4 linked regions of the Lepisosteus oculatus genome follow. The protein of the gene in region 2 interacts with the protein of the main gene of each other region in a pairwise test. Links are inferred from orthologs where the notes say so. Each region holds a gene or a part of one and is shown on either strand. Other genes may lie near its edges.

Region 1 (7,781 bases), on a different chromosome or scaffold from region 2:
GCAGGCTGTGCCGATTTATCTGTCAAGCTGGTCCAGAGCTTGATGAACACATTAATTGCCTATGAGCTTGAACAGACAGAGCCATTAGGAGAAGAACAGGACAAAAACCTATTTCAAAAGGGCCAGCCTCTCCAAAGATCCCACCGGCAGCCATGTGAGGTTTCCAGCATTTCCTATCAAAGCTAAATTCATAGAAACAAAACTCCAGAAATTCTCCCGTTAACAAAACAGCACTTAAAGCACAGCAATGAAAAAATGTGGATGAAATAAGTATCAGTAGGGCGTCAGAATCAAAGGCTTTCTACGACCCCAGGTCCAGAGCAGCATGGGCACAGCTCTCCCTGCAATAGAGGGCGATAGCGTCTCCACACAGCTCCCTAGTTAAGAACAGCAGCCAGACCCATCTGAAAGTTTTACCGAGTGTGCAGAACGGTGCCAGAGAGTGTGCTCTCAGCCCTGGGCACTGCAACCACCACCTATAAATATCCATTTCACTGGCACTGCCAGACTGACATCATCATGCAGCAACGCTGCAAGCCCTGTCGCGCTGACAAGAAGAGAAAGGAAAGCCCTAGGTGGTAGAATGACGTCCCAGAGAGAGAGGAGAAACAGGTCTCCATCCCCGCCTGGCCAGATTACTACAGCTGTTCTCTCCGGTTGGTTCGGCAGGTCCCGTTTTGAACTCGCAGGAGAAACGGAGCTAACACTCCCCCCCAGCCCCGCTCAACTAACTCCGGCTCCCCCAGCGATTCTGGAGAGCGCAGCTTCATCAGCACAGTGTTAACTAGGTGCAAGTTCACGCCGGACCGTTCTCTGGAAGATCTGAACACTGAACGAGCGATTTTCTTTTTCCTATAACTCAGACCGCCAGGCTACTTAAGCAGAACTTACACCCCGCCCCTCTCCCGCCTGGCACCTTCTCGGAAGCGGTCCGGGGAAGACCAGGCGCAGACCCCTGCCTCCCATGTGACACCGCGCCTGGGGGGGGCTGCCCTGAGCACAAGGCGGACGGGTGACCCAGAGAGCTCTTACCAGACCACTCCGAAAGCTCCGTATCCGATGGGCCTGTCCGGCTCGATGTCCAGCTGCTGCTGCTGCGGCAGGTGGTGCGAATGCGGGTGGTGGTGGTGCGCCTTGACGGCCGCGGCCTGCACTTGGGCCGGGGCCGCGGCGGCCGCCGGGCCGGGGGCCTGTCCCGGAGCCGGCGAGGGGAAGTAGGGCTGCTGGCTGGGGTTGAGCATCACCGCCGCGGCGGCCGCGGCGGCGGCGGCGGCAGCGGCCGTGGTGGAGGCGTGCTGCTGCTGCACCGGGTGCACGGCGGCGGCCGAGCCCGGGTGCAGGTGGTGCTGGCCGGCGTGGTGGTGGTGGAGGTGGGGGGGAGGCAGGTGCTGGAGCTGGTGGTGGTGGTGGTGCGGGTGTTGCGCCGAGGCGCCGCCGTTGTACGCGGCCATCATTTTTGCGGCGCTGGTAGCCGTGGTCCCGCACAGAGCCATTCAACTCCGCCGACAAACGACCAGCCGGGAAGAAAAGCCACCCCTCTCCTTCCTTCTTTTTGTAGTATTTTCGTGTGTGTGTTTTTAATTTTGTTGACGAAAAATAAAAGTAGGGTGAATGGAGAGCAGGGAAGAGGGGGGAGAGGGGGCGAGAGGGGACGAGGGGGTGGTCAGACGGGCATTGGGCTGTCACCCCACCAGGCACGGAAGGGGGAAAAAAAATCCAAAAATAAAAAAAAAGTGAGGAAAATAAATTAAATAAGCTCGAGCCCCGCCATCGCTTGTCTGAGAGGACGGCTCACTCTCTCCGGCACCTCATCTCCACGCAGGAGGGGCCTGACCCACTTCCCGGGGTAGGGGGCGACTTGTCCCGGGTCCGGCCCAGCAGCGTCCCGGCCGGGGGACAGCGGCAGCGAGGACACAGCCTTGCCTTGCCCGGCCTCCAGGAGATAGCGCGCACACACACACGCAATAACAACGAAAAGAGGATGATTAAAAGCTCAAAACGGTACTCCTCCGGCGGGGAACGACCCGTTTCTCTCTCTCCCCCCCCCACCCACCCACCCCAACAATACACAGACGCAACGGCCTTCAACACTCCCTCATTGTGGACGCCGGGGTACCCCCTCTGTCTCTCCCTCCTCCCGGGGGGCAGGATCTCGCCCCTCTCACGGCACGAAACAGCCGGGCTCCGGGATCACACGGGGTGGGGGGCAATCATCTTTTTAATTTCCTCATTTTTGACTCCTTTGGATCAAACCCCCCACCGCCACCACCGCCGCCGCCTCCTCTTCTCCTCCTACAGCCGCACTTGTGCGCCAGGCAGCTGCGCGCAGTTTCAGAAGTTGGGAGGATGGATGTCGGCTCGCCGGTCTCTAGGAGAGATCTGGTTTTCGCCCCGCTTTTATTTCTCGTTTAGATTTTGTGCTGGGGGTGCCGGTGTTGTTGTTGTTGTTGTTCCTCTTGGAGACACAAAACCAGAATTGCACAGCAGCAAATCCGACAGCGGGGTCTGTTGTTGAAGGCAAGCGGAGCCACAAGCCGAGAAGATGGGGTCTGGCTGAGACTGAGTCGGGCGGCGGGGGGTTGGCGGGGGGGGCAGCCGGCCTGGAGGCTCTCCCTCGCTCACCCTATCTCTTCTCCCCCCGTTACTGTGTTTTTTTTTAAAACGACGGCGATTTCCGCGCCCCCGTGTTTCCAGAAATCCGGATCATTTTCGTGAATAACCCCCCCTCCAGGTCTCTCGCCCTGGCTGCGAAGGAAAAGCAAGTCTTCCCCAGGCACGGAACAGTCAACTTATCTTCTCCATGGGCGTCCAGTTCTGCCGGCTTTGCTAGCCTGTCTGCCGCCCCCCCCCCCACACACCGCTTTCACAGCATGAAAACAAAAGTAACCTCCCCCCCCAAATTAAAAAAATTCAAATAAAACACACCCCAGGCCGGCTCCGCCGTAGAAACAAAAACAAACCGCCACACTCCCGTCTCCCCTGCGCCGGACAGAGCGCTAGCTGCACTGAGGAAGACACGCGCCGCCTAAGATTCAGGCGACCCGCCCACTGCCCGCGTCATCGGCGCCTCCCAGCCAATAAGAGGGCAGGCAAGGAACACTGTGACTTGTGACAGCCAATAGGTGTGCCTCCTCCGCGTCGAGGCAGCTGGAGTGACAGGGCCGAGAGATTTAAATCTCTCGAAACTGCCGCCATTGTGGCTCAAGGCGACTCGTGCGGAGCGCTACCTCGCCTGCCTTCCCGTGGATCCAAAATGGCAGGCGGAGTGAGCGCAGTTTCAATACGTCATGGACGAGACTGTACACCAATCATTGAACGCCAAGGGCAGAGTTTTCCTGTCTCCGTCAGATTAGCCAATCGTTGTTGACGCAGCCAGACGAGACTGGGGTTTTCGCTCGGTCACGGCTAGCTGTTAGAGGCGTGCTGTATAGGGATTTTAAAATCTTAATCTTCTGGTTACCTCAGGCAGAGAAGGGGCCTTTATGAGAAAATATAATTAAGACGCCGAATTCCTGTGCGTATACAAAAGATGATGCGCCCCACACGCGAGGTCAACTTAATAAGAGCAAGTGTGTGTTGGCGCCCCCTGGTGTCCACGGTTTGTCATGGCAGTGAATGGTAATACACAGGGTCATCCCGGGTTCATTGAGGAGTACTACCACGAACAGGTGTTTGCACGAGTTGCCTTGCAAACAAATAAAACCTCCACTTCTCCTCTTGTGTTCTGGTTGCAGGTAAACCACAAATTCCCCAGTTGCGTTTTGTTTATGTGAAGAGACCATTACCATCTCATTGCAAGCATGCCTTCTCATTAAAACAGACCATAGGGTCCATTGAAATGGACCCCATGCATTGAAAGAGGGAGGCAGTCACAGGGTTAGTCCTCCAAAAATATTCCAACACATCATCACAGGAAAACACTCGGACCTGCATTAAAATTCCATGCAGTGGAAGTGTTGGCACTATCAGCAGGGAATAAATGGCAGAATACATTAGCTTTGTTGCACAAATACTGTGATACTGTGTATCCAACAGAGTTGTGCTACTGTCGAAAATAAAGGCACCCCTATAGATTTCCGAAGCCCTGGGTAGCTCAGTTGGTAGAGCATGACGCTCATAATCTCAGGGAAGTGGGTTTGTGTCCCACGTCAGGTGTGAGGTTCTCTAATAACCCATACCGGGCAGCAGCAGTATGGGGCTGGGTTGGTGCTGGAGGGTCACATATCCGTGACAACGGCAACAACACTCGCACTGTCTGCGCGGAAGAGAGGCCTGGCGATCTACTTCCTGTCCTCCCATGAAAGCCCTGTGGATAGTGCCGGCGGACCTGTCCGTGGGGTAGGGTAGAAACACCGTCTCTCTGGTTGTCTGGCTAGTCGTTACAGGAGGATTCCTTCAGGAGTGGTAAGGTGAGGAATCCATGACAAAATAAGAATAAATTTGAGGGAAAATACCCCGGTCATATTTTGCAAACCGAACGAAAAGAGCATTACTTCACAACATCAGCAGGTGGTAGGCGCAGAAAAAGATTGAGACGTTTCATTATTGGACATGACGTGTCGCATTAGCATGAAAACTAAATATTAATTTGTTTGTTTTTTTTGGGGGGGGTGAGGGTTAGTTTACTGGGTTGCAAGATTTAGCAGCGGTGTGAAGGCAAATGGGCTACCTTCATCAATTTCCCTACGGGATTAATAAAGCATTATCTATCTATCTACCTTCCTGCCGCTGGCGTGTTCAAATATCGAACGAGCCGCCCAGCTGCTCTCTCCTGGTCAGCGTTTGGCGGTAATGTGAGGGCGCGGGCACCAGCTGCGCATTCCACGTCACGAGACTGAAGTTCGGGCCTATTATGACCTGATCCAGGGGTGTGGAGTCGCAGGAGATGGATTTAGGCCTGCAAGGTCTTTGTCCGAAGCCCGGTGTCCTGTGCCTGTATACATCTGCCATCAAACTGCTTTTGTCCTCCCTGTGTTCCTTCCTGCCACCAACTGGGAACAGGTTAGCAACTGACAGAAAGAGTTCTGATGTCACACATACTGGAAAACAAAGGCTGCTGAATTGTTTTCTTTTTTCGCCCTGCTCAGTCAGTAGGAAACAACGGAGATGCACCAGACTTTTAATCCTATTATCCTCTCTAATAATAACAGCGATAATAAATCCAGGCATTTTGTGTGATGCTTTTCACCCCTAAGGGTTTCCAAATAGCATTTTACTGTACATACAGGGGGGAACCCAGTTCGTCTCATATTGAAACGTTCTTCCCAAATACCCCCCTGGCCTTTACCAATCATGGCCTCCTAATAATCCCCATCTCTGAACTGGCTTCATCACTCTGCTCTCCTCCCCACTAAGAGCTGGTGTGTGAGGAGTGTACTGGTGCATCATCCAGGTGGGGCTGCACACTGGTGGTGGTGGAGGGGATCCCCATTACCTGTAAAGCGCTTTGAGTGGAGTGTCCAGAAAACTATATATAAGCATAATTGTAATAATTATTATTACATGCCTACAATGGGTCTCTGTTGGTGATTAAATTCACTGTGTTGTGGATTATTCATTCATTATTCAGGTATAACATTTTTTCACTGGAAGAGTCAGAACACCCTTGATAGATGACATTCAAAGATTTTTCCTTCATTGCAGACTCTGGTCAACTTGGCCTAAATTCCCAGATCTTCCTAAACCGTTCCCTTTTTCAAGTGCACACTGTGGGTTTCGGAAAACCCGAGAGCAAAACAGACTTTGAAACCCAGGCTTCTGGCACCACTTACGCCAGAGATCTGCAGCCCAAAGAAATTCTTTTTTTTTCTAGTTTTAAGATGCACTAATTATCAACAATTAATTCATCCCCAGCCCAACCTCGAAATAAGAGCACTGTCCTCTTTAACGCAAAGCCTGCTTTCCCTGTGTGCTTGAAGCCTGCTCCAGAAACTTTGCCTCAGTCCCACTCTCTTCGGCTGGGGCTATGGGGTTCTGTGGCTCCTGCACTGATTTATACACTGGAGCGAAAAAGGCACGCCGATATTCAGGAGAGTGGCACAGGCGTAAAAGACAAGGTGATAAATTATCCGAATAATGGCATCGACCTTTACTTGTGTGCCTCTTAATTACCTTAATTAATGATTCCTCTTGACGAGGGTAAATTGGGTCACAGTGTTCTCGTAGCATTGGAGCGTATTCCTCTGGACTCCCAACCCTATCACCATTGCATATTTCACTTTCAGATGTAAGTTGTTTCCCAGAGGAACTCCTAACACTACTGTAATCACCATAGAAGGAACTCCTGTAAAGTAAGAATCCTTTCTATGAATCACCCCTATCACAGACTGTAAGCCATCTATACTTTACAAAGTAAATTACTGGCATAGCACATGATTCTTTGAATTTCAATGTCATTTTCTTTTAACAGGCATTTTATATATTGGCAGAATATGTGGTGCATTTACTCTATTTGTTTGTTAAAGCACCTAATCTGGCGTTTATTCATTTCCTTGGACAAAAATATAACTGTCAGAGAAATGAGGCGCATTCTGCAGGTACAGTATATTCATATATAAAGTCATATTAACAGCAAAACTTCAGAAGTCTGAAGTTCTTTATTCCTCGTTTAAATATGTCATACATGGACAATGAAATGAGGGGTCTGAAATCAATAAGTAATTGCGGTGCATTTAAATTACAGGAATTAGGGGGAGATGAATCAGATGCTCTTACCCAGTTAGGCTGGGGTTTGTATGTGTTGACCAGGGCTCAGTGAGGAGGGGAGATCACCACAAGGACTTCCCTGACAAACAGCACCTTGCCTACTGATTCAGTTTCACCTCATTCGTAAGGAACCCCATTATTTATTTCCTGCTTTGAGTATCAGATTGGTTTTCATTTAATTACCTTTCTTCCGGCCACAAGCCTGGAATATTTCAGACCGCCTGAGTTTGGCATTTTACTTCTGATGCCTCCTCTGCTGGCAAACCCATCAGCTCATTCTGCAGGTCCAAGCCCCTCCATCTCTGTGCTCTGCTCAGGCGCGCTGTCAAGTAGGAAAAAGTGAGTTTGGATTTGACCATTCAATCATATCGGACTCCAGGGGCACTCGAATCCCATGTGAAGGAGCTGATGGTTTTTATATTCCTGTTGCAACGTGCTTTGTTATTGAATGTTCTAATTCAATTCTTTAATTAGGCAAATTAAGCATTGTTTCCAGGTGGTATAAAGTCAGACTTGGTGGCAGACATGGTCCTAGGAACCTGATACTGTACACTCTCCCATTTTACAGATGTATTAGGCTATATGCAGTGTATGCAAGACAAGAGGTAAGTGTGTATTGTGAGTTGTAAAACCACTCAGCAAAGTGTAGCAAAGCACAGAGAAATCATGGTAAACAGTGCATATTTCAGATATACACAATCTTGTAAAGCCATGCAAATTTACAGTAGGAAGTATTTCACAAGGTGCATACTGTTCAGCTTTTATACAATAAATACTCACAGGAAGCATTTAGGTCCTTCTAGTGTCTTCTGATGTCACACATACTCATTAAATATAATAGTCATGCATATGTCATTCATTTATTTCCCTTCAGGATCAATAAAGTCTTATTTATCTATCTCAACCCAATTCAAACTGCCGAAACTCAGAAAAGGGTTAAAGATCTCTTGCATTGCCATGTGTTAGTGGCACACTTTCCAAAGACAGCATGGCTCTTGTCTGAAGACTGGTACTGTAATAAAAAGGCTCAGATTAATACAGAAGATTTACAACTGGAACTCAGTCAAAGGGGCCCC
Region 2 (7,498 bases):
GAGTTGTGGCAAAGGCCCTGGGCTTGTAACTGCAAGGTTGTGGGTCCGAGTTCTGACAGCAGTTCCTCTGGTGTACTCCTGAATAATGTGCATGCATTGTTTCAGGAACTTCAACACTAGATAAATTCCTTAGCCTTCAAGAAATGTGTTAGATGCTAGCTTATACCACAGCTTTGTCCCCTTGACAAAAAAGAACGTTTCACTTTATAAAACTGTGCAATAACCCATGCAGAAAAATGTCTTTACCCTTAGAAAACCTTTCTCCTTGATTCCATATTTTACAAATACAAAAACCTCATCCGCAATTTCTCAATCCGTGCAGTGATGCCCAACTGTGATATAAACTAAATGCTGTAAAGGTTAATCAGAAGAACGTTATTTTTTAATCTGATCGAAGAATAATTCTCTTAATTTAAACGTAATTGGAATTATCTGCAGCAGCAGTGGCCTTATAGTAACAGTGTTGTAATCACAAAACTAAACCTCAAGCGGTTAACTAAAGAAATTGGCGGCAAGCGAAGATTACTATGCAGTGCCCGTGAAACTGGAGAACATAGCCCGGCACAAGGCAAACACACCTGAATGGGTGAATAAATACTGTCTGTTGCCATAGCAGCCCGATCTAATTGCTTGATTGATCACGGCTGAAGTAAGAGCGCCGCCAGTCTGCACTGTGGACTGGAAATCTCCATGCCGCTGAAGCAAAGCTCCGGTGAGGCCATCAGCCTCGGTCTACAACAGTCCTCTCTAATACTCTCCTTCCATTCAGTGCAGAGCGCGGCTGGCAATGTTTCACTATGGGGGAAGTTTAATTTGCTCCTGATAAAAGCATCGGAAGAGCTCACTGTCAGTCACAGCCAGAGCTAGGATACCGAGAGCCCTGTGCCTCTTTTTTTCCCCCCCACACACGTACTGTATATCCCAGTTCTGCAGACATTATTTTCACCTTTTCAAAGATCTCAACGTCGAACAAGAGCTGCCCGCCTAAAAATGTAGACGGACCTCAACTTTGCGACTTCACAAACCTCCACCAGTGCTGGTAACGTCGAAGCAGTACAATAGCGTCACGAAAACAAACTTGCGAATGCAGACAGTTCGTGTTAATGTCAGATTGTGAATACACCGAGATGCCAGGGAGGAGAACCTGCCTCGTTAGTCTACTACAAAATATATATCGCAGCACGGCGATAAATTGGTGGTTTTTCTCGGTCTCCCCCCTCTCTAAAGACCAACGCTAAGGCAAGTAGCGTGCAAATCCGCAAGTACCCGAGCAGAAGTTGCAAAAGCACATCGGTTTAAAAGGATTCCCTAATGCACACAGCCTTTCGTTACTGTAAACAAAGTATAAATAGCCTGCAAACGCTGAGATCCCAGCAGCCTATTATATAACAATATAGCTAGCTGGGTTACATGACATCACGGGCAAGACTTAACAACCACTAGCCGTAAGGAACGGGGGAAAAAATGTCCATTTAAACCGAATTAATTTATGTTTGGGTGTATTTAAGAAACGTCATAGTGAATCGGCATGTATTTTCTAAATATGTGTATGTTTGTTTTCTTTAATGTTACACTTACTATAACCTCGATACAAAAGGCATAGTGGTGTTAAACTAATATACATTTCTGGGCATGGGCCAAATAATATAACGCATAAGACTACCCTTAAGAAAAAATCGTAATGCAGGGATGATGAAGCTCATAATTGTGGACTGTTTTTCTTTAGAAGCAGCTACTGTAACATTTCTAGGTAACAGGGTTATTAAAAAGAGTTACATTTCTTTCAACCCAGAAGAGTGTTGCATTTACGCAACGCACCCACACGCCTGTCCTTGGAAAGAGCTGCCCAGCAATAATAAAAAAAAAACCCCGCTTCATAAAACTAGAAACAACACGCTTATCTCGTGGATTACTGTACTACTACACACACACACACTATGGACACATCGATTAGGAAGTGCTTTCTGTAATGCGTCCTGAGCCCGCTAGAGGAAGTGGAGTGACGCAGCGAGACGCGAGAGTTGGTCCGACAGCAGCCCCAGCTCAGTGCGCTTCTCCTCGGCTACCGCGCCTCGCAACATCCGCCGCACCGCCGCCTGGTGCGCAGCGCAGCGCAGCGAACGGGCGCACGCCTCGCAGTGCACGTCCAAGGACGCCCGGGGCGAAATTTTTCCCAGACCCTTTCCTCTGCGTAAGAAGTTATACCTCCTTTCTGGTGGTGGTGGTGGTGGTGGTGTTGGTGTTTTTTTTTAAGAAGGTGGGGGGGGGGAGAGAGAGAGAAAACAACGCCAACTGTGATCCATCGCGTCTCCCTTCCTAGTTCCTCAGAGCCATTTTCCTCACTTCTTTGGGGAGGAGAAGCGGCGACGGAGCCGGGGGCTCCCGAGGCAAGACATCACGCTAAATAAATCGCCGGGACTTACTGTACGGTGTAATGGTCTGAGGAGGGCAATGCCTTTCCTTGTTGCCAGGGCTGTTTTCCTGCAGTGACGGCGGGTCCGTCTCCTCTCCACTACTAGAAGGATGTCTGCAGCAAAGCGAGGCTAGCTCTCTCTGTGTCGCTCGCTGTTCCCACCTCTCTCTCTCGCTCGCTCGCTCTGTGAATGTGTAATAGAAGCCAAATATGGAGCAGTTGGCCGCCTCTGCAATAGCTCCAGGATCCTTCACTATGCGAGGAGGGGATGGAGGCGAAGCCGCTCTCTGGCACGAAGCCAGGAGTCGCGGATTAAGGCATACCCACACCACACGGAGTTACGGAGAGCTTTAACTCCTTCGCCGCCGGACGTTTTTGTCGTGTTGTTCCCCCCCACCACGTTTTGTTTTCTGTGGACAGCTGTGGTTTCTCACAGTTTCGTAGACGCCAAGATGAAGTTTACGGTCTCGTTCGGGGAAAGCGGTCGTGGTGCATGCAGGTGGTGTTAGCTTTTATCCCGAGCGAAGCCCTGGCACCTTAGTGCAGTCGAACAGGAGCTGCTGGCTTGCCCGGGATTTCAACTCGCTACCTTCTAGTAAGGCGCCCAGAAGCCCAGAAACCACACTGCTACAGTACTTCATTCAACGCTGTGATCTGCATGAAGTCACAATATGTATTAACTCCTAACCAAGTGACTCCTTTCAGCGCATGAAAAAAGTAACATTGAAATGTGACAAGTCACGCCTAACTAGGTGCTGCGTAGACAAATGCCATCGGTTAAAAAAGGTGGTTAGTCAAGGATACTATGTTCATGATAAACATCATTACAGCCAGATTATTTTTCTTCTAAAATACATCGAGCGCATAGGTTTTGTTTGCACTCCAAACATAAAGATAGCTTTAAAACATTTTCTTCTCCTGGCTAAATTACAAAAGAAGAACATGTTTATATGTTGTGTATATGTTTGTTTTCGTTCTACTGTGTCAATATTTCCGGATTTTCATAACTGACCGATTCCAAATTGTTAGTCTTTAAAAGAAACAACAAACAAACACCAGCCATCAGGTGAGCAGTCTATTGTGTCGAAAAAGCAAAACGGACAATTGAAAATCCTGATTGTGACAATAAAATCATATATTTAATTTCTAAATAACACTTGAGCAAAGCTATGCTTTGGGTCATAATCTTAAAGTTACAGTGTCTCTAACTGTAAAATTTTAAAAAGTAAAATTGCACATTTTTCTTGTGGCCTGTGGCTAAGAGCTGTTCTTGGAAAATACATTGGTCCACAGGCACCTCCAAAACTGCTGTACTGTTCAAGTCAAACAATATGTCTGACTGGTATTTTTAATTCCATGAATCAATTTTCAAGCCATATGAGAAGAAAGGGACATGGGACTGAGATCTATTACCTTAGACCCTGAAAAAGAGTTTCCTTCAAGAACAATACTGTTGAAAACTGACTCCAGTGTCCAGCAGGCCCACACTTGAGTAGAAGAAAAGTCAGAAACCAAATTTCCCCCAAAGGCAGATCACTCTTAACAGTTGACCATCCTCAAGTTCAATGCTAACATCTACGATAGCAGCATCTTCCAGTAAAACCGCCTATGAAACGCCTGTGAACTGATTAAATACACAGCCAACCTGGGGAAGAGCTGTTGTCAGGATTTACATCATTAATATACTGTAGGTAGAAAAATAAAAGCTGGCCCCTACTCTATTGCAAAGTTGTATGACATTTCAGCTGCAGGTTCAGGTATCTTTGCTGTCGGATTTCACATACACTTTTTACTGAAAGGAGTTTGGAGTTTTTATCTGACTTAATTAATGTAACCCTTTAGCTGAAGGTTTGACTGTTTAAATGTTTTTAACTGCTTTCAGCACTTAAAATTTACCCAGCACTGCTGTCTGAGGTTTCTCTATTGGTCTTTTTTTATGATGGATTCTCAGTTGAATCCTCATTTTAATTTTGATAAAGCAGCCATTGTAAATTAGTCAAGAAAGTCATTAATCGGGACTGTGATGTGTAAGCTTTGCTGGTCCTTCAGGGTCTCCAGCCTTGTTCTTGGAGAGTTGCTACCCATCCAGTCTTACATGTCAGCATGGCATCGACATGGGACGTAACTGATGACTGAAAAGATGGAATCTGCTCAATTTAGAAATCATTTGGAAACAAAAAAACTCAGTCCTTGAGGACTAGAGTCCCTTTAGACAAATGCCCTGCTCAATAGATCAATAATGTACTGGAAAGTGTTGTTCATCTTTTTAGATCCTGGTGATATCTCCAGAATCTAGTTTTCAGAACCCCCTTTTTTCTGTGGGGGTTTCTATTAACTGAACGGGCCTCTGGAATTTAAGTCACTGAGATCAAGTGACACTAAAGCCCAATTATATTCAAAAGTTAAAATCTCAAACCCATCACCACTAACCAACCAGAATATCTAACGGCAAGTTCCCTGTTAGAGGAAATACAGTAGGAGCTCCTGTGGCACAATATCAAGTAGAGTTTTTATTTGGGACTGACAAGTGAGTTCAATTTATTTTAAATTCTGGCCTAAATTAATGTTTGCCATGGGAATTCATGGTACTACACAATTCCCTTATGTCACTAAAATCACTGCTTAGATGTTTAGTGAGGTGAAGAAGAAGAGCAGTTTCTGGAAAATGTTGTGCACATGATGCTTGCTAAATATCTTGACAACTAGCAGGGTATTTCTGAAACACATGACTGAGTGCAGAAAATAGCCCAAACAGGGTCTAGATCTAATTAAGAAACTGTTCAGTTAAGGAATCAATTAGTCAAAGTAATTAAAAGCTCAGCTACTACATAAACTAAGAGATACAGTATCCTGGGGACTGGGGTTTGCTAAAGAGCTTGCTGGAAAAATAGTTTTTTTCTGTTTTACTGTCTTACAGTATGAATAGTTTTTTTTACGGTATAGAGTACTTACTCTATGAAGTGGCTTCATTACTCTGCTCTCCTTCCCACTGATGTGTGGTGAGCGTTCTGGCGCACTATGTCTGCCGTCGCATCATCCAGGTGGGGCTGCACTGGTGGTGGTGGATCATACCCATATTATGATAAGTAGCTTTGACATTTGTCCCGGCTCATTTCAAAGTGAAGTGAGGACTAGCACTGTCAGCATCTCCCAAGAGAGGTACAGTAGTTAGACTCTTGCCCACTATAGGGAATCGTCATTTCAAGTCCTGAGCAGCTGTATATTAGACAATGAAAGGCACACAGAAAGCCAGCATTCATTTTCCAATTTCACAGCTCGGCTTCTACTGATATTGAACAAATAATATTAACGGTATGCTGTAGATACAGAGATCGCTGATCACAGACAGTAGTCCTAAATAACAGTTTCTTTAAAACAGCAAAATACTACGGATTGTCTGGAGCTTGTATATTTACAATAAAGCCTTACATTTCAAGAGGCAAGAGGAGATGCATTATTTCACCTACTTGCATCACATGTTTCTAGAAAACAAAATGCAACTTGAAAAGGTTATTTTGATTGTGTAATCCCACTTTACAGAAGTGGCTACAAATGGATATTGAACTGAATATTAGAAGAATACGAATTGAATACATTCTGTACTCTGACTCCTGATGTTGATGACTTCTATCAAAGAGTCAGGGTTAGAATTAGGGGCAGGGTCTTTCAAATGTGATAAGCTTTGGGCCTGAGAGAATACACATAAGACATTCTAGCATTGTTGCTTTGGTAGGGAACCAGAATTCCTTAATATTCTGTTACCATCAAGTATTTCCTAAACAGTGATGTTGCTGACAAATTTCTGTCAATCAAATACATCAGAAATTAGGTACTTGCATGGCAAGCCTCACAATCTTTGAAATCGTGACCTTAAATAGTCCCCAGTTCATCTTTCTGAAGAACAACATTACGCATACTAATGACATTAACACCACAACCATCCGTGATTTCATCATATGTGTGTAATTTCCTTAAGAATTTCTCCTTTCTCAATCAACAAAAAGAGGATGATAAATTATTTACTGTACAACACAGAAAGTATGAGAACAAAGATTTTTCTTAAAGCAAACACAGCCAGGATACGTTTCATTTAATAGGGGCTTCATCTATACAGATGGCAGGAATTGGGGGTCAGTTCTAACAACTAGCAGTGTTTCAAAAGGTTCGCCTGTTACATATGGAATTCTGTGTAAAAGCAAGGTAGTTCCCTTCTAGAATACAAGGTTGTTTTTGCTTGTCATCTAGCCTAATTAAATTTGGCAGTTCTTGTAATAAATATAGCATCTTAAGAATCAAGGCTTCACATAACACTAAGGTACAACGTGAAACTGATAAAAGTGGGTTCTCATAAAGAGACAGCTGATTTAAATGATTTAACGATTTCATATCACGAAGTACTGAAACATCCTTGATAATGACCACATCCTCAAATTTTCAGTCAGGAAAATACTGCAAGGAGAGTGATGTTATGACAGCCATGTTTTATTTCACTGTTTTGTGGGAAAGAAGAAAAAATACTACAGGAAACTGAAGAACTACCATGAAGTGAGACGTTGTCAATTCCAAACAACGCTCACTATCTGCAGAGCGAATGTGCTTTTTTAAAGCTGCACTGTAGCTGGAGAAAATCTCTCACATTTTGTTATACAGTATATTCAGAGACACCCCTTTACCCAGGACAGTACATACTGGCAGTAATGGTGGTCTATGAACGTACATCGGTTTTCTTTTTCTTTTCAGAGCCTATAAAAAACAACACTTGGAGCTGCAGCCAGATGTAGTCTTAGGCTCCTGTTTTATGGTTCCTCTGCGGAATCTTCCCCTTCCATTCTGAGCCATGCCAAGAATCTAAGGAAAGGATACAATTTTAGTCATAACTTCCTTGTTTTGGTCTTTATGCAAAAAAACTTTTTTTTTTAATGAAAGTTCCGAAGAGCTGAAAGTGGTGTGGTCATCAATTTACACAATTGTAGTACTGAAGAGGAACATTTAAAAGGATGGTCTGTACTGTTACTTTACATTACTGCACATTACTATATACTTGATATCCTGATTTGCTTTAATGCAGTTTCTCTAAGTTATTAC
Region 3 (7,421 bases), on a different chromosome or scaffold from region 2:
GGGTCAGAGGGCTAGAGCTCCGAAACAGCCCCTCCAGCAGGCCGCGGCTCGCCAGAAAAACGAGGCGCAAAGCTCGTGAGGACACACCTGGTGATATTCCAGCCCTTCTGCTCTCGGCTCAAATTTACGTGCGCAGCTCCAGGGACCCGTCTGGGCCACAGTGCCCCTTCACCCTCTCACACACACAGCTGGCCCAACCCCTGATCACCCCCTCGCCCCCAGACAAGCGCCCACAGACTCTCAGCACCAGTCAGGCAACACCCTTCTGCAATCCCTTCATATCAGGGATGCCAGATAAACGGTTCCCTTTTCTCCTATTAAACCCAAACACAACCATTCAATCACCTGCACTGTGCACACTGTGGCTTCTAAAGCCAGCAGCTCAGTTATAAAGCCCAGGGATCGTGAATAACTAACTCGCCAACATCCCGGTCCGTGCGCTTACTTGTAAATCAGCCCTTCAAGCCGCTCTGACAGCTAATCGCTACGGCCAGCTGACGGATCTCACAAGAACAGGTTAGAAGTCGTCAGGAACAGATATCGGAACTGACAGCAGCCGAGGAAAGGCGACGGCCCGTTCTCACACGGTCACTTGAGGCGAGTTTCGACAAAATCAAGCCGTATTGGTCCGAACCGAGGGCTCTGCCCGGACGCGCCCGCTCCCCCAGGACCGCTTTCGCGAGTGGCAGGCGGGGTCACCTGAATTTCCACGCCGGTCCGAGGCGCGACAGAGCACGACGCCGGGCCGGAGGGGCAGGGCCGGAGGGGCAGAGCCGGGGGGGGCGGGGGGGCCCCGCTACGTCACTCCCCGGCTCGTGCCCCGCGAGAGCCGCTCGAGACCGGCTCGAGACCCGCTCGCGGACGCCCGCCGCGCCGCCTTTCCCCGGTTGGGACTGGGACGGCTGGGAAATCGCGCTGGGAACCTGCCGGCCCTCGCAGGAGGCTGCCCTGCCTTTTCCTCAGGACCCGTTACACGGAGGACCGCAAGCCCCCCGGGCGCCGCTCCTACCTGGCTGCGCTCGAAGCTCTCCCGCTCCGCGTCCAGGCTGCTGGCGCCCGCCCGGCGGCTCAGCACCTTGGGGATGGGGTTGGGGACCTGCTGTATGGAGCTCTTCACCCGGTCCATCGCGGCGGGCGGCGAGGACGGAGTGCTGTTTTAGAATAGCACGACCAGGCAGTGAGGGAAACGTCCAAGCGCCCCGACGAAGTTTCTTCGCCACTCTGTAGTTCACAACTCTCCGCCCCGGGAGCTGCCTTCCAGCCTGCCTGCCGAACACCCCCAGCTCGCCGAGGCGCACCCGGCGCAGGCCCCGCCCACACTGAAAACCTGGCGATGTGATTGGCTAGTTTAATACAGTGGCCCACCCATTGCTCGTATTTCCGGCTTCTTCTTGGGCGGTCTCGGCGTCAATCTTAGTTTAGCCCCGCCTCTGGGATGATCGGAATGTCCATCGCTATAGTCCCGCCCAGAACCCCCCTCCCCCTTTTACGACACCCGTTCTTCCTGACGTCCAATTGGTCAATTTCCACATCAATCACCCAGCTACCCCGCCTTCCAGAGCTCAAATCTTTTACCTGATTGGTTGTTGACCCAGTTAGTCACTTGCGTCTGGGGGAAAAAAAAACATTGGGGAACCATGTCTCATTGCAGTCTTAGGTTAGTAAGAGCTCTACTCAATAACATCCCCAAATTGTGCAGAATGTTCTATAAGTATTTTAGATAAAATGTGGGATTCTCTGTACGTTTCGGTAGGTTTCCAGTAGGGGAAAACTGCTCCCTAATGGCGTGGCGCGTTGTTGTCACGCCCTTATCCATGACTTTGTTTACATTGCCAGAGTTTGTGTACCGGCTGTAGATGCGGGTCCGTTACCGAGACCGGAGGCACTGTCAGTCTGACACGCTGGACACGGGCCTGTGTCCCGACACACCCCCTGGCGGCACCAGCACATCACTCAGTTCAATACCCAACACGGCTCTCGGCGGAGTCACCCAAACACGACCCAGTCTTTATTGTACCGAGCATATTCCTGTTCGCTGCGTCATCTTAAGCATCGCTGATCCCGCAACGGTGAGGGTGATCTTTAAATTGAAATGCTATCCGTCCTGATTGCGTTTCCTGGTCGGGCGAGGGAAGGACACTGATGGAGACAGTTAAAAATAGTCGCACGGTATGCTCCGGAACTCATTCCAGAATCCACTTGAGACTTTTTTGCAGGATTCTGTACTGTGTATATAACCATGTTTTATGAATCAGGTCGCTGTCAAACAGTTTTGCATCAGTTGTGAAACTTTCATTTCCGTTCCAAGTTTTTTTTTTCCTTTCTTTTCAGTTTTTTCCCCCTTTTCTATGGTCTGTAAAAGTTTCCTCCTGTATTTGTCTAGAGTGGCCCAGGAAGGCGCTGCTTTCTGGGACTGAACCTGGCGGGTCCTGGACTGGTCCTGGACGGCGCCTGAGCCGGCCGGGTCCTGGACTGAACTCACCCCGGAGTCCTAGCGGGGAGCGCGGGAGGTGTGTCCGTTGGCCTTCGGGGAGATGGCGAGAGGACGAAGGAGGGGTGGGCAGTGCGAGGTCGCGGGGCAGAGACAGGGCGCGCTCAGGGGAAGCGGCCGGCTGAGGAAGTGAGGTGTCCCCTCAGAATTTCACAGCTGGCTGACAGAGAGCCTCTCACATCCTCCCTCCCTCCCTCCTGGCGGCTGGCCACGGGCCCACAGCCGTCCACACGCCCCCCCACCCAGGAATCCCGGAATCCCAGCACCTGCTCCGACTCCACCCCCATCCCACCCTGTGAGTGTCCACTGTTCTCCTGGTCCTTCAGCCCCCTTCACACTGGGCTTTAGTGTAGCCCTGTGGTGGCCCCCCAGCCTGCATTGTGCTTGACCGTACCTCTGTGCCTCGCACTGTTCACACCGTGCTTCACCGGGCTGTACTACTGTACGGCTTTACTTCTTACAGGTGAACCAAATTGCGTCTCCTTGCACAATAAAGCAGAGGAAACGTTCTGTTTATCCGTCTTTCACTTTTCCAGAGTGGAGTCATCTTCTACACGTTCAACTGCCCACTCCAGCCTCCAGCGCAAAAAAAGCCTTTTGACAAACAAAACCTTTTTGTCCTCACAAAAGCACATCTAGGGCTCTTCAGTAGCTGGAACCTTTTCCTCCCCTCGGGACAGAACAATCATTTCAGCACCGTCGTTCTGCAGCAGGCCTGTGAAAGGTCCCGCACGAGAGCTCTGGAAATCCTGCGGGATTACAGAACAAAAACCTTCAAACACTGAACCCAGAAGGATTGTTTGCCCATTACAAGCATTCAGGGTATGTACAGGAGTCCCAGAGGATATGGCTCCCCAAGTCCTAAGAGTTTCATTTTTCAGGACTGTCTTGTAGGTGAAGTTATGGGAGTTCCCAGTGCCCACACTCGCACTTCTCTCTAGCACGTTGAAGGAAGAAGGGAACGTTTTATTGTCCCATTAGAGGACAGCTGTCCATGTCACTGAGCCACTATACAACCCAGTTCAATGAGAATGATTTGTCAAAATACAGTGCAGCGTAAGGAAACATGGATACTGTTAAAGTTTGTTTTTGTCTGGAACGCAAATTCTCCTTCTGAATTAAGAAAACGTAAGAGCATTGCAATTAAGGCGAGTTGAACTGCTTAGGATTTCTACAGCAAACGTTTAATTTGGAGTCCTGTGGATGTGAATGTGCTGCTAGTGAATTTGATCCTTTTTGCTCAAAAACACTTCTGCCAGTAATTAATCTCCCATTTCCAGTCATACTCCTGGCTGCGTCCCAGGGCCCGAAGGAGAGAAAGTGAGACAGTGCTATCTGCTGCCTCCCCTCCAGCCATAATAAATCAGTGTCTTTGTTAGATCACAGCCCAGTGAGAGAGCACCGTACTGCAGTATTTCAATGTGTTAAGCTCCTTTAACATAGCTCTCAGGCCATGCTTTGGCCCCATGAGCACTAGTAGGGGGCCTGCTTACTTCAATTAACATGTAATCATCCCAGATTAGTGCTAAATCCTGGTCTGTGAAACTGCAACTCACTGCTCCTTACAGTATAAAGGCAGACTAAAGTCCACATAACAGTTCTCAGGTTTGCTGTGGTCCAGCAAACAGAATAGTTCTGCATCAAACCAGTGTATTATCTGGACCCAGATCTCTCTCAATGAGAAGAAATGAAATTCACATTTTCTGAGGCTGTAAATTTAACTTATCTCAATCGACTGACAGAAATGTGGGATATGCATGATAAAGTTAAGCAGTATCCTGGTAATTCCCGGGGCAAAAAGTTTCCCTTTGGAAGTAAGGTTACATGTTTTTTTTTGTGTTTGTAAACGCTTTTCCTGACACTCCACTTTACAGGTAATGGGGATCCCCTCCACCACCAGTGTGCAGCCCCACCTGGATGATGCGCCAGTACTCTCACACACAGCAGCTCTCGGTGAGGAGGAGAGCAGAGTGATGGAGCCAGTTCAGAGATGGGGATAATTAGGAGGATTGGTAAGGGCCAATGGGAAATTTGGCCAGGACACTGGGGTAACACCCGTAATCTTTTCGAGAAACGCCCTGGGATTTTTAATGACCACAGTCAGGACCTCGGTTTTACGTCTCATCCGATGGTCGGGGTCTTTTTACACTCGAGTGTCCTCGTCACTGCTGGCATAAAATATGAGTTTCACCCTGATCACACCTGATTCTCTTGAAAGTTATAATTCTAATCAGGGAAATTGCATCCTACAATCGTGCTGTTGCCACAATGCTTTGTAGTGCATCTGTCATGCGTGGTAGTACTGCTGCACCACGCAGTGAGAACACATGAAAACACTTTCTATGGTGCTGCGGTAAAAGTTCAAGAGGAATCCCAATATAAATAACCGACTTGACGGTGAATCGGCCGACGTGCAAACCCGCTTCGTCGGTTTAGGTGACTGTGGACAGAGGTCAGCCCCTGACCGGGCACAGGCCGGCTCCCGGCGCCTCTCCTGCCCGCCGAGCGAGACCGGCCCCCCCGCGCGCCCCGCGCCCGGCAGGATTATGGGATATTAAAGTCCTCCGGCGGCGCGCTGCCGCCATGTCTCCCAGAGAGAAGCGGCGGATCGCGCTGATCTCTGTGGCGCTCCTGGCTGTCGCGATTTTCTGTTTCGCTCTTTATTACATACCGACTTTCCTTTACGTCTTGTTCATCCTTGGAGTGTGCACTGTCGCCTGCTTCTGCCACGCCGGCGGCCCGTCCCAACACACCAGGCTCGGCCCTCAGCCTCGGCCTGCCCTGGCCATCCCGCCGGCGCTCAGACGCTGGTTGCCGGGCAAGACCGCGAACGGCGTGCCCTCGGCGGGCCGGGTCAGCTCCCGGGGCCACCAGGGCCGCCCCGGCAAAGGCGAGCTTGGGGATTCGGCGGCGCCCAGAGGCGAGCGGCGCTGGGAGGTCCGGGGCGCTTTTCAGAAGGAGGCAGAAGGCGGCGGCAACGGCTCGTTTGTGTTCAGCCCCCGGGACCTGCTGATGGGGAGCTACCTCAGTAAGGCGGACAGCCCCGGAGCCGGCGGGGCGAGCAGGGAGCTCCGGGAGAGGCTGGCTCGGCCCAACCATGCCGTGCACACCCCCAACAGGAGACTGTCATTCGGGTAAGACCCAGCCGGGCGAAGCGGCTCAACCTCTGTGCTTTGCTACTGCGGAGAGTGAGACGGCGCTGTGATTAAAATAAATCGGGTTTGTTCCTAAGTGCTACAGCGCCGGTCTGCTCGCCTCTGTTTAAAGCCAGCGGCGGGGTTTCCCTCCAAGATTTGAAAATGTGGGAGTTGCTGCTTCGCCGCGGTCCGGCCTCTCCGGGGGGGCTCGGCTGTCGGACCGGGCCGGCTTGGTGCAGCAGGGCTGGAGATGAAGTGCCCCGAGATGTTTGGGCAGCTGGAGCCCTAGGGGGGGGGCTCCGCGACCGGATAGGAAGTGGGCTGACCCGGACGGGCCGGACGCAGACGCTGGCGGGAGGTGCGAGCTGCGTGCGGTCCGGTGACGGTCTGTCGCTCTGTGTGCTGCAGGGACAGCCTGGGCGCGGCGGGCCGCTTCAGCATCACCCCCCAGCGGCACTACCCCCTTCAGCAGCCGGGCTGCCCCTCGCTGGGGCCGCTGCCCCCCGTGCAGTGGGACGGCTGCCGCAGGAAGAACGTCCTGACGCCACGCAACTCCCCGGCGGCGCGCAGCCCCGTGACGGTGAAGATCGCCCGGCCGGAACCCAGCCGGACCCGCTCCCCTCTGTGAGTATGGGCCTCTCCGGCGCCAGAGCCACTGCTGCCACGTGCTGTCCTGATCGTGGCCCTCTGTCCATTGTCATCCCATACAGTTCAGAGTTGCGGGGGAGCTGGGGTCTGTCCCTCCCTGTCTATACTCCCCTTCGCCACAGGACACGCTCGCTCTGCCCCCCTCGCACGCACGCTCGCTCTGCCCCCCTCGCACGCACGCTCGCTCTGCCCCCCTCGCACGCACGCACGCTCTGCCCCCCTCGCACGCACGCTCGCTCTGCCCCCCTCGCACGCACGCTCGCTCTGCCCCCCTCGCACGCACGCTCGCTCTGCCCCCCTCGCACGCACGCACGCACGCTCGCTCTGCCCCCCTCGCACGCACGCACGCACGCTCGCTCTGCCCCCCTCGCACGCACGCACGCACGCTCGCTCTGCCCCCCTCGCACGCACGCACGCACGCTCGCTCTGCCCCCCTCGCACGCACGCTCGCTCTGCCCCCCTCGCACGCACGCACGCACGCTCGCTCTGCCCCCCTCGCACGCACGCACGCACGCTCGCTCTGCCCCCCTCGCACGCACGCACGCACGCTCGCTCTGCCCCCCTCGCACGCACGCACGCACGCTCGCTCTGCCCCCCTCGCACGCTCGCACACACGCTCGCTCGCTCTGCCCCCCTCGCACGCTCGCACACACGCTCGCTCGCTCTGCCCCCCTCGCACGCACGCCAGGGCCATTTTTCCCAGAAGCCAGTTTACCACCAGCAGGAAACCCACATGAAACACACAAACTCGCACAAACCAGGTCCAGAAGGGTCTCCCCTTCTCACACTGTTTCTGGACTGGCTGCAGGTTTGACCGGCTGTCCTCTCCGCTGACCGCGCTGGCTCCTGGGCTGGGGGCCTCGGTGGACCCCTGCTCGAAAGAAGCCGTCCTGACCGCGCTGAAGGAGGGGCGCAAGAGAGAGGTGGAGGAGGAGGAGGGAAGGAGCTGCAGTGAGGGACAAGAGAGCAAGAGAAGGTGTGTGCGGTTTTCGTCCACACCCGTGACTGTCTGACAGGACTGCAGCTCTTCATGTTGCTGTCTCTCATTCTTTCATTCCATTGTTAACAGTCTCGGCCATTTTCTCCACCAGTAAACAGTTGTCTTCAAGTCGTGATGCCCTTGTGTGGAGTGCCCGGGAGGTGTT
Region 4 (6,887 bases), on a different chromosome or scaffold from region 2:
TAAGATTTGAAACTTCAATAACATCGACATCATGAAGTATGGAATTAAACACTAGACTGACAGGTTAAAATAATCAAATATGTTTGGCCTTCTCTTTTGACTGGGCTTGTTTCGAGTTTTTAGAATCTCAGAAAACTGACAAAGACCTCTTAGACTTCAAGGTTAACCGTGAAACATGAACCAGGTGACAGAACTGTAAAGTACAGAGACCTGCATTTAAGACTAACAACAAGAGTAATGTCCTTACATTTAGTATTGTAGGAGTCTGAAACATGCTGCTCAGTCATCTTATTGAAGCTCACACACTAGGCTTCCGTACAAGAAAGGACTGGGAGAGATCCTTCAACCAGACACCTACAGTACAACCAACCAAATAATTATGGGCCAGATGATCTCCTCTCTCAAACTATCTCTTTTCATTTCTCATCTCTTTCAATGTTTTGTTTCCTGCCTGGTTCCTTACAGTACGAGTGACAAGACTATCATTAAAAACAGCCAAGGGGGACAACAGAGCTGTTTGAACTGATTTATTTTTCAGTCTTAAATCATATCCGAACACTTGATTGTCTTCTTGAATCCAATACAGATTAACAGGACTTTAACTTAGTAATGAGGGAAAAGGGTACATTGTACTTTTGGGGTAAAATTTCCCATGTAGTATGAATCATTTTTATTAGCTTTAAAGATATAATACCGCACATCATAATTCATCTAACACTGACACTCAAGTTTATTTACACATGGGAAAATAATGTCTGTTATATAAACAGTGGGATATATGTTTAGTGCAATCCTTAATATTTTATTATGTATATTTTTTTCAATCTATTTCTTATCATCAGACCAGGTTATTTCATAGTCTTTGAAGACAGCCTTCAATTTCTCAACCGTCAAGGAGTGATCAGCTTTTCCATAACCCTGAAAGAAAAAAAAGGTTTTGTATATCTAAGGAAAAGCGTCTTTACACCAGCCAAGACTGCATAAATGAATGAGCATTTTCTGCCAACTGTCTTCAGATAGTTAAAGGAATTGCGACTGCATGCTTTCAAAGCAAAGCAATAACTGTTCAGCCATTATCAGAATGCCGTTTATTCCTGGAAAGAATTGCAGTAACCAGGAGCCCATCCTGGAAACAGAGTTTGAAACAGGACTACACCCTGAACGGGTCAACAGTCCATCGCAGGTTTCAACCCTTTTATGACCGCACATGAAACTTCAGGGTCCAAATGGAAGGGTTGAGGTTGAACTTACGGTGGAAAGACCGAACACCCTGATTTTCTTCTCTTTACTGTTGTGTTCGACCTTCCCTCCTCCAAGACAGCTGCATTCCATTCCTAAATTTTCCATCTCAGGATTTACCTTCTCAAATATGTGATCTGTGAGGAAAGAAAAGAAGTGGGTGTCTAGGTCATGCGTACGATCTCGGTCCAGTTATGGTCATGTGGCGGTCATCCCACAATGTTGGTCTCGGTGACGTTTGCACCCCTTATGATTTTCGTTCTTTAATTTCGAATTAAAATGTACTTAATTTCAATATTTTAAGATTGTGTTTACTCATCACAAACGAATACAGAACATGACCAAACCTCTCAAATACATATAACTCAAACAGTGCATAGTATACGTTTAGGACAAAAGGAAAAAAAAAAAAGAAAATACATAATCATAACTTGATAAAAAATGTTCTTAATGCAACATTTCTTGTATTAGGTATACCCCCTTTATATCTATGTATCGGGGCAATCTCGTTATACTTTACAATCAAATGCCTGTGTCACGAAGTTCTTTTTCAAGCTACGTTTGGTATTTAAAAATAGAACATGCGAGTAGGCACATTTTATTTTTAAAACGTTTAGTTTTCCTTCCTGAAGGACACTATATTTTTCAATATTTCACATATAATAACCTTAACGCTACATAAAACCAATCTTTATTCTCCAGCACTTGCAAACACTGGACTTATGGAGGCGTGTAAATCGCTCGAATTATTTAGGTAACCTCATCCAGCGAGCTGAACTTACTGTGGAACTCGGCACTCGCCGTGCCTCTCACTATATCTTTGTGCTGAGACCCATCTTTCGTTTTCACCCTCACTAGAATGTATTTAAATACTCCGTCGGGGTCTATTTCAACATCAGAGACTTTACTCAACAAATCAGCCATGGCCTTCTCCGGTTCTGATAAAACAGCTCACTACCGCTTCTCTGTTGGCAATTCTTTTTGTTATTCTGGGTGGAGCTTCGTCATACGTGGAAAACCAGTGTTTGTGACGGATGAACTTTAAAGCGACACAGTTATTTAAGTTCATAGCAATCACGAGTCAAATTGTCAGACTGTGCAAATCCACTAACCCCAATCAGTAAGATTTCCCACCATATAATATAGTCTTTACATCATCTTACTATCGATGTAAAATCGGGATCGTCTTACTATCCCAAAGTGCTTCATAAAGTCATATTTCAGTATACTTTTAATTTGATTTAAAGTAAAAATGTAGCTTGCACTAGGCGATTTAACACCATACTGGAGTATCAGGCACAGCTAATCCAATTCTTTGTTGATCAATGAGCGGCGTACTTCACCAAGTCTGCTTTGTCAGCTGGCATTTATATTACCCTTATTTTCCTGTTGTTGTTTTAAATCTCCGCATATGCTGTTCTCTCTATACTGCGAAGTTCACCGTTTCCCTTTGTACAACAATAAGGTGCAGTTAAGAGGCCTTTGGAGGTCATGTTTGTTGTGAGGTTGGCCAGTTTTCTACAAGTCTTTTTATAGAAATTAGAGATTTTGCAAGATCACCAACGATAAACATGTAGTGCAAAGATCTACAGCGCATTTATTATTTTTCTTAAAGAAAAAATATTGGTAAAAAAAACCGCGTAGAGATCTAGCAGCATAGTGACACATTGCTAAACCACAGCTCTGGAGCACCGGGTTCAATTCCAGACCTGAGGTGCTACCAGCGTTGAGTTTGTGTGTCCTCCCCATGTTTGTGTGGGTCTCTTCTGGGTGCTATGGTTTCTCTCCCCCCAGTCCAAAACATACTGGTAGGTGAATTGGCTTCTGGGAATGCTGGCACTGGTGTGAGTCTGTGTGTCCCTGCCCTGCCATGGACTGCCGTCCTGTCCAGGGTGTACCCTGCCTTGCGCCCGTTGCTTGCTGGGATAGGCTCCAGCTCCCCTGTGTCTCTGAGTTGGAAGACTTGGTTAGAAAATGGATGGATGAAACCTGTAGAGATGTAAAGCATTGTTTGAATTAATATATGGGAATATTGCAATAAAGAATTATTTCATAGCAGACTTAGCCTCATAACGCACAATTATATAACAGCTGTTCTGCTATGACGTCGCCCATATTTGGTAAAAACAATTGTATGTGGTGCTACAGTACAAGCTGAGCAATTTTCTGCTGTTGTGTGTCACATTTCCAAGCAAATAATCCAATTTATAAGATGTTTACCGGCTTAGATATCACAGTTTGGTGAAATTACAGGGTAAAGAAAGTTGACATACAGTAAGAGAGCAGGCATCAGCGAAAGGTTCAGAGTACTTAAATACCCAATATCTCTGTGAAGAGTTAGGATTGCTAAAACTGTATGGTTTAAAGACACCTTCATTGTTTGCTCTATTTTCCTTCTCATAATGTTGTTTATTTTACTTTAATGACCCATCTGGCTGATAATGACACTGTAAGAGTCTTTTTTTACATAAATGTAAGTTGCATATACATTTAACGTCGAGTTATCTCATGTTTTAGGAAGGAAATCATTTGCTCAGACTTTCCTCTTTTAAAATGTTTTTCTTTCTCACCGAACCACCTCTTTCTGATTGGTGTTTGTTTATCCAGTTTGTACACCATCCTATGTTTTTAGGGTGCTTAAAAACGCTTAGGTTCTTGAAAACGTAGAAGCTTCCTGTAAAAATACATTATGTTGAGTCTTTCATCTGTGGTTTGAGACCTTCCTGTGCTTTCTCTAAAGTTTTTCGGTACCTTAACTGTGCTTTGTTGGTGTGTTTTCTAAAAGGAAGCACCTAGAGACAATGCTCACCTTCAAATGTTGCCTCATTTAATAAAAAATAATAATAATTTGCTGATTGACTGGCAAACCATTGTCTGATCAAGGTGTATATGCAGTGCAGGCCCCAGGCAGAAGCTGTGTTAACAGCTAGCTTCTCCCCCTGCAGACATTTCCTGAGTCGGGAAAATCCAAAATGTGAATGACTAATTAATCCAAACGTTTATTTTGGCGATTTAGAAGAGAACAATGGACAAATGACCGTGCAGATAAAGTGAAATGATTTCAGCTGGAATTAACAGTAACTAGCTAGGCTGTACTTTTAGAATGGCAACAGTGTGACTAACACCCTCACGTCTTTATTATTTCCTTTGTGGAAATCAGAACTTGAAACGTTTCTGAAGCTCCACTGAGGCACAACCACTGTATTTAAACCCACTCGATGCTAAAATTAGTCATATCTGCGCTGCGAAAGAAAGTAGGAAAGAGTTGTTTACATCTTTCAATGGGTCTGTTTGGTGGGACTTGCTGACAGGCAGTAAAGTCATGTCAGCCATTGCCTTAACAGCGTTTACCATGGCACATTTACTGAAGGAGTCTTGCATGTGACACTTCACTAACATTTTGCACCAGGAGTGCAATAGTGCACTATTGTAAACGTGTCTATATGGTGTTTCCATGGTCAAATATAGTAAAGTACAGCGAAGTCTTAATCCTGAGTAAGCATAGTCCCTACTTATTGTAGTCTCTGGGTTGGCTGAATTGTGGTTGTTCTATGGGGCTCTTAGAATCCATTCATAGACTACCCTTATATGTTTTGCTCTGTATTGGTCCCAAGAATTTACGAGATTTGTATGTTTTCCATTTGATTTTGTTTTTCAATTAGTTTATAGTGCATTTGTAGCTCTTAATTTAAAGAAAGAAAGTTCTCTACCTTGTTTCAAACCTAGTCTCCCTTGTGCCACTTTTGTTTGTTGACCATGTGAATTTAGATCTTTCTGGCATTTGACAATGTATAAAAAACATCTAATTTATTTTCAAATATTTTTTCTCACTTATATTCTTTCAGAGCAGAAGGTATAATTCCATCTTTATTCCATTCCTATTTATTTCCACTTCATTCCATAGCTGTTTCATCTCTATCTCAGCTTTATTTCATCTTTATTTTCCATCATCACTTAATGATTAAACACACTGATCAGGTTAAGTCTTACTTATTGTGTCACTTTTGTGAGTTTGTCAGCCGAGATGACATAAACCTTAACTCTGATTAACCGGAACAGTGTGAATACAATTTAGATGTATTGTAATAAATTCTTTGGAACATAATATTTTTTGATTAATGGATTTTTAAATACAACTACAGTACACTGAAGTCTTATCTTTCAAGAAAGCGAAATGGGATGTTTGTTATCATCGCTGTGAAATTGAAAGAATTGTTTCCTGTATCTTCTCCTTTGTTTGATGGACTCCTTCGTTTTGATGTGTTCAGCATTCTGTTATTTGAAAGAATTTTTTTTCCTTCACCCACTGGGATAAACCGGATTTAAAACAAGGTGTCATTTCTTGGGCTGACTATTTTTATAATTGTTTTTTAATCAAAACTTTAGCGGTGAAGCGTGTGACAGTATTAAGCATTTTTACTTTGGCTCGCATGCAAAAAGCTCTCTGGATTTCCTATTTACATGAGGTGCTTTCCCAGTACAAAGTTATATCGGTAAATCACTTATCCTTCTCGTCTTCAGACATTATAATATAATTATACTGCACATTAAGAGTTTCACAGGCTTCCTTTCTCAATTTCCAAGGGTTTCACCTAAGCCTTGGCTCTGCATCAAGATGATAACACACAGTTTGATACAGTTGAAGGTGCATATTAATGTCCAATTTTTAAAAAGAGAATGTGTTGAGTTAGTGGCATAAAATATACTTATTGTACTAAATATTTTTTACTATACAAATATTGAAGATTTTGCTTATAGCTATGTATAGAGTAATTTGAAGTGTGTTCCAGGAAATATATGTAGAGACTTTCAGCCCAGCAGACGTAGTGGAATTTCTCCAATATTGTGTTGTAGGAAAGGCGCCAGTTTGGTTGTATAAACTTTGTCTGGTCATTTCCTTTCCTGTAATGAGCAGTGAGATTACTGGATTAAACTCCCTTCTGACATCTGTCTAAAAATATTACTTGGTTATGACATCTTCACAACTGAAATATATATATGAAATATATATATATAATTTTCAATACTAGAACACTGATATTGATTGTGGGGTAACGTGTGTGGTGATTGAGTTACGATCCCTTTTTATTATGCACAGTTATCCTGAATGGGAGTGACATCTCCAGTTCTTGGCTCTATTAGAATCCATAAAGGAGAATTAACGTTCCACCGAAAGCACAATCAGTAATCAAACACAATCGAGTAATTAAACAGTTTCAAAATTGATTGCATCTTGATTTTAATTGATTGCAAAATTGATTGAATCCATCTGGATTTTCAAGTCATTGTAGTATTCGTAATGTATTCTAATACACTGTTTTTAATATTCTAAATTGCATTTATCTAATTGTGGTCTTATTTTTAGTTTAGGGAAACAACTGGGAAATACAATACACCTGCGTATTACAAAGCGCCACATCTTTTCCCACTACTAGCCTATTACCTCTTCTCTGGGATAAACTCCCTCTATCCCCAAAGTGGGACCTTAGAATTGCCAGTAGATACCAGTATTTAGGGTTGGGGTTTGCAAGGCTCTGATGGTGTCTACCGCCCTGATCTGGCCACACCTCTGCTGTTCCACCAGCATGTTTTTATATATATCTAAATAATGCTGTAAATGTCAGATTTAAAAGAATAATCTGGTTAAT

The links.
Region 1: the proteins of atxn1a (region 2) and nlk2 interact in binary tests that used the Homo sapiens proteins (3 or more experiments, as listed by UniProt). The link is inferred for Lepisosteus oculatus from reciprocal best matches to the Homo sapiens genes ATXN1 and NLK.
Region 3: the proteins of atxn1a (region 2) and pom121 interact in binary tests that used the Homo sapiens proteins (3 or more experiments, as listed by UniProt). The link is inferred for Lepisosteus oculatus from reciprocal best matches to the Homo sapiens genes ATXN1 and POM121.
Region 4: the proteins of atxn1a (region 2) and 14 kDa phosphohistidine phosphatase interact in binary tests that used the Homo sapiens proteins (3 or more experiments, as listed by UniProt). The link is inferred for Lepisosteus oculatus from reciprocal best matches to the Homo sapiens genes ATXN1 and PHPT1.

Annotation. Positions count from the first base shown.
Region 1 is NC_090721.1:8,929,368-8,937,148, reverse strand, and holds the start of nlk2 (serine/threonine-protein kinase NLK), read right to left. Parts: upstream 3,022-7,781; 5' UTR 1,494-3,021; coding exon 1,033-1,493; intron 1-1,032. UniProt on the Homo sapiens protein: Serine/threonine-protein kinase that regulates a number of transcription factors with key roles in cell fate determination. Positive effector of the non-canonical Wnt signaling pathway, acting downstream of WNT5A, MAP3K7/TAK1 and HIPK2.
Region 2 is NC_090705.1:39,523,476-39,530,973, forward strand, and holds the start of atxn1a (ataxin-1a), read right to left. Parts: upstream 3,023-7,498; 5' UTR 2,424-3,022; intron 1-2,423. UniProt on the Homo sapiens protein: Chromatin-binding factor that repress Notch signaling in the absence of Notch intracellular domain by acting as a CBF1 corepressor. Binds to the HEY promoter and might assist, along with NCOR2, RBPJ-mediated repression. Binds RNA in vitro.
Region 3 is NC_090721.1:492,937-500,357, reverse strand, and holds the start of pom121 (nuclear envelope pore membrane protein POM 121), read left to right. Parts: upstream 1-4,408; 5' UTR 4,409-5,074; coding exon 5,075-5,625; intron 5,626-6,036; coding exon 6,037-6,252; intron 6,253-7,084; coding exon 7,085-7,252; intron 7,253-7,421. Other genes in the region: hip1 (huntingtin-interacting protein 1), read right to left, coding at 1,010-1,126. UniProt on the Homo sapiens protein: Essential component of the nuclear pore complex (NPC). The repeat-containing domain may be involved in anchoring components of the pore complex to the pore membrane. When overexpressed in cells induces the formation of cytoplasmic annulate lamellae (AL).
Region 4 is NC_090704.1:8,541,509-8,548,395, forward strand, and holds 14 kDa phosphohistidine phosphatase, read right to left. Parts: upstream 2,235-6,887; 5' UTR 2,164-2,234; coding exon 2,022-2,163; intron 1,377-2,021; coding exon 1,252-1,376; intron 919-1,251; coding exon 826-918; 3' UTR 513-825; downstream 1-512. UniProt on the Homo sapiens protein: Exhibits phosphohistidine phosphatase activity.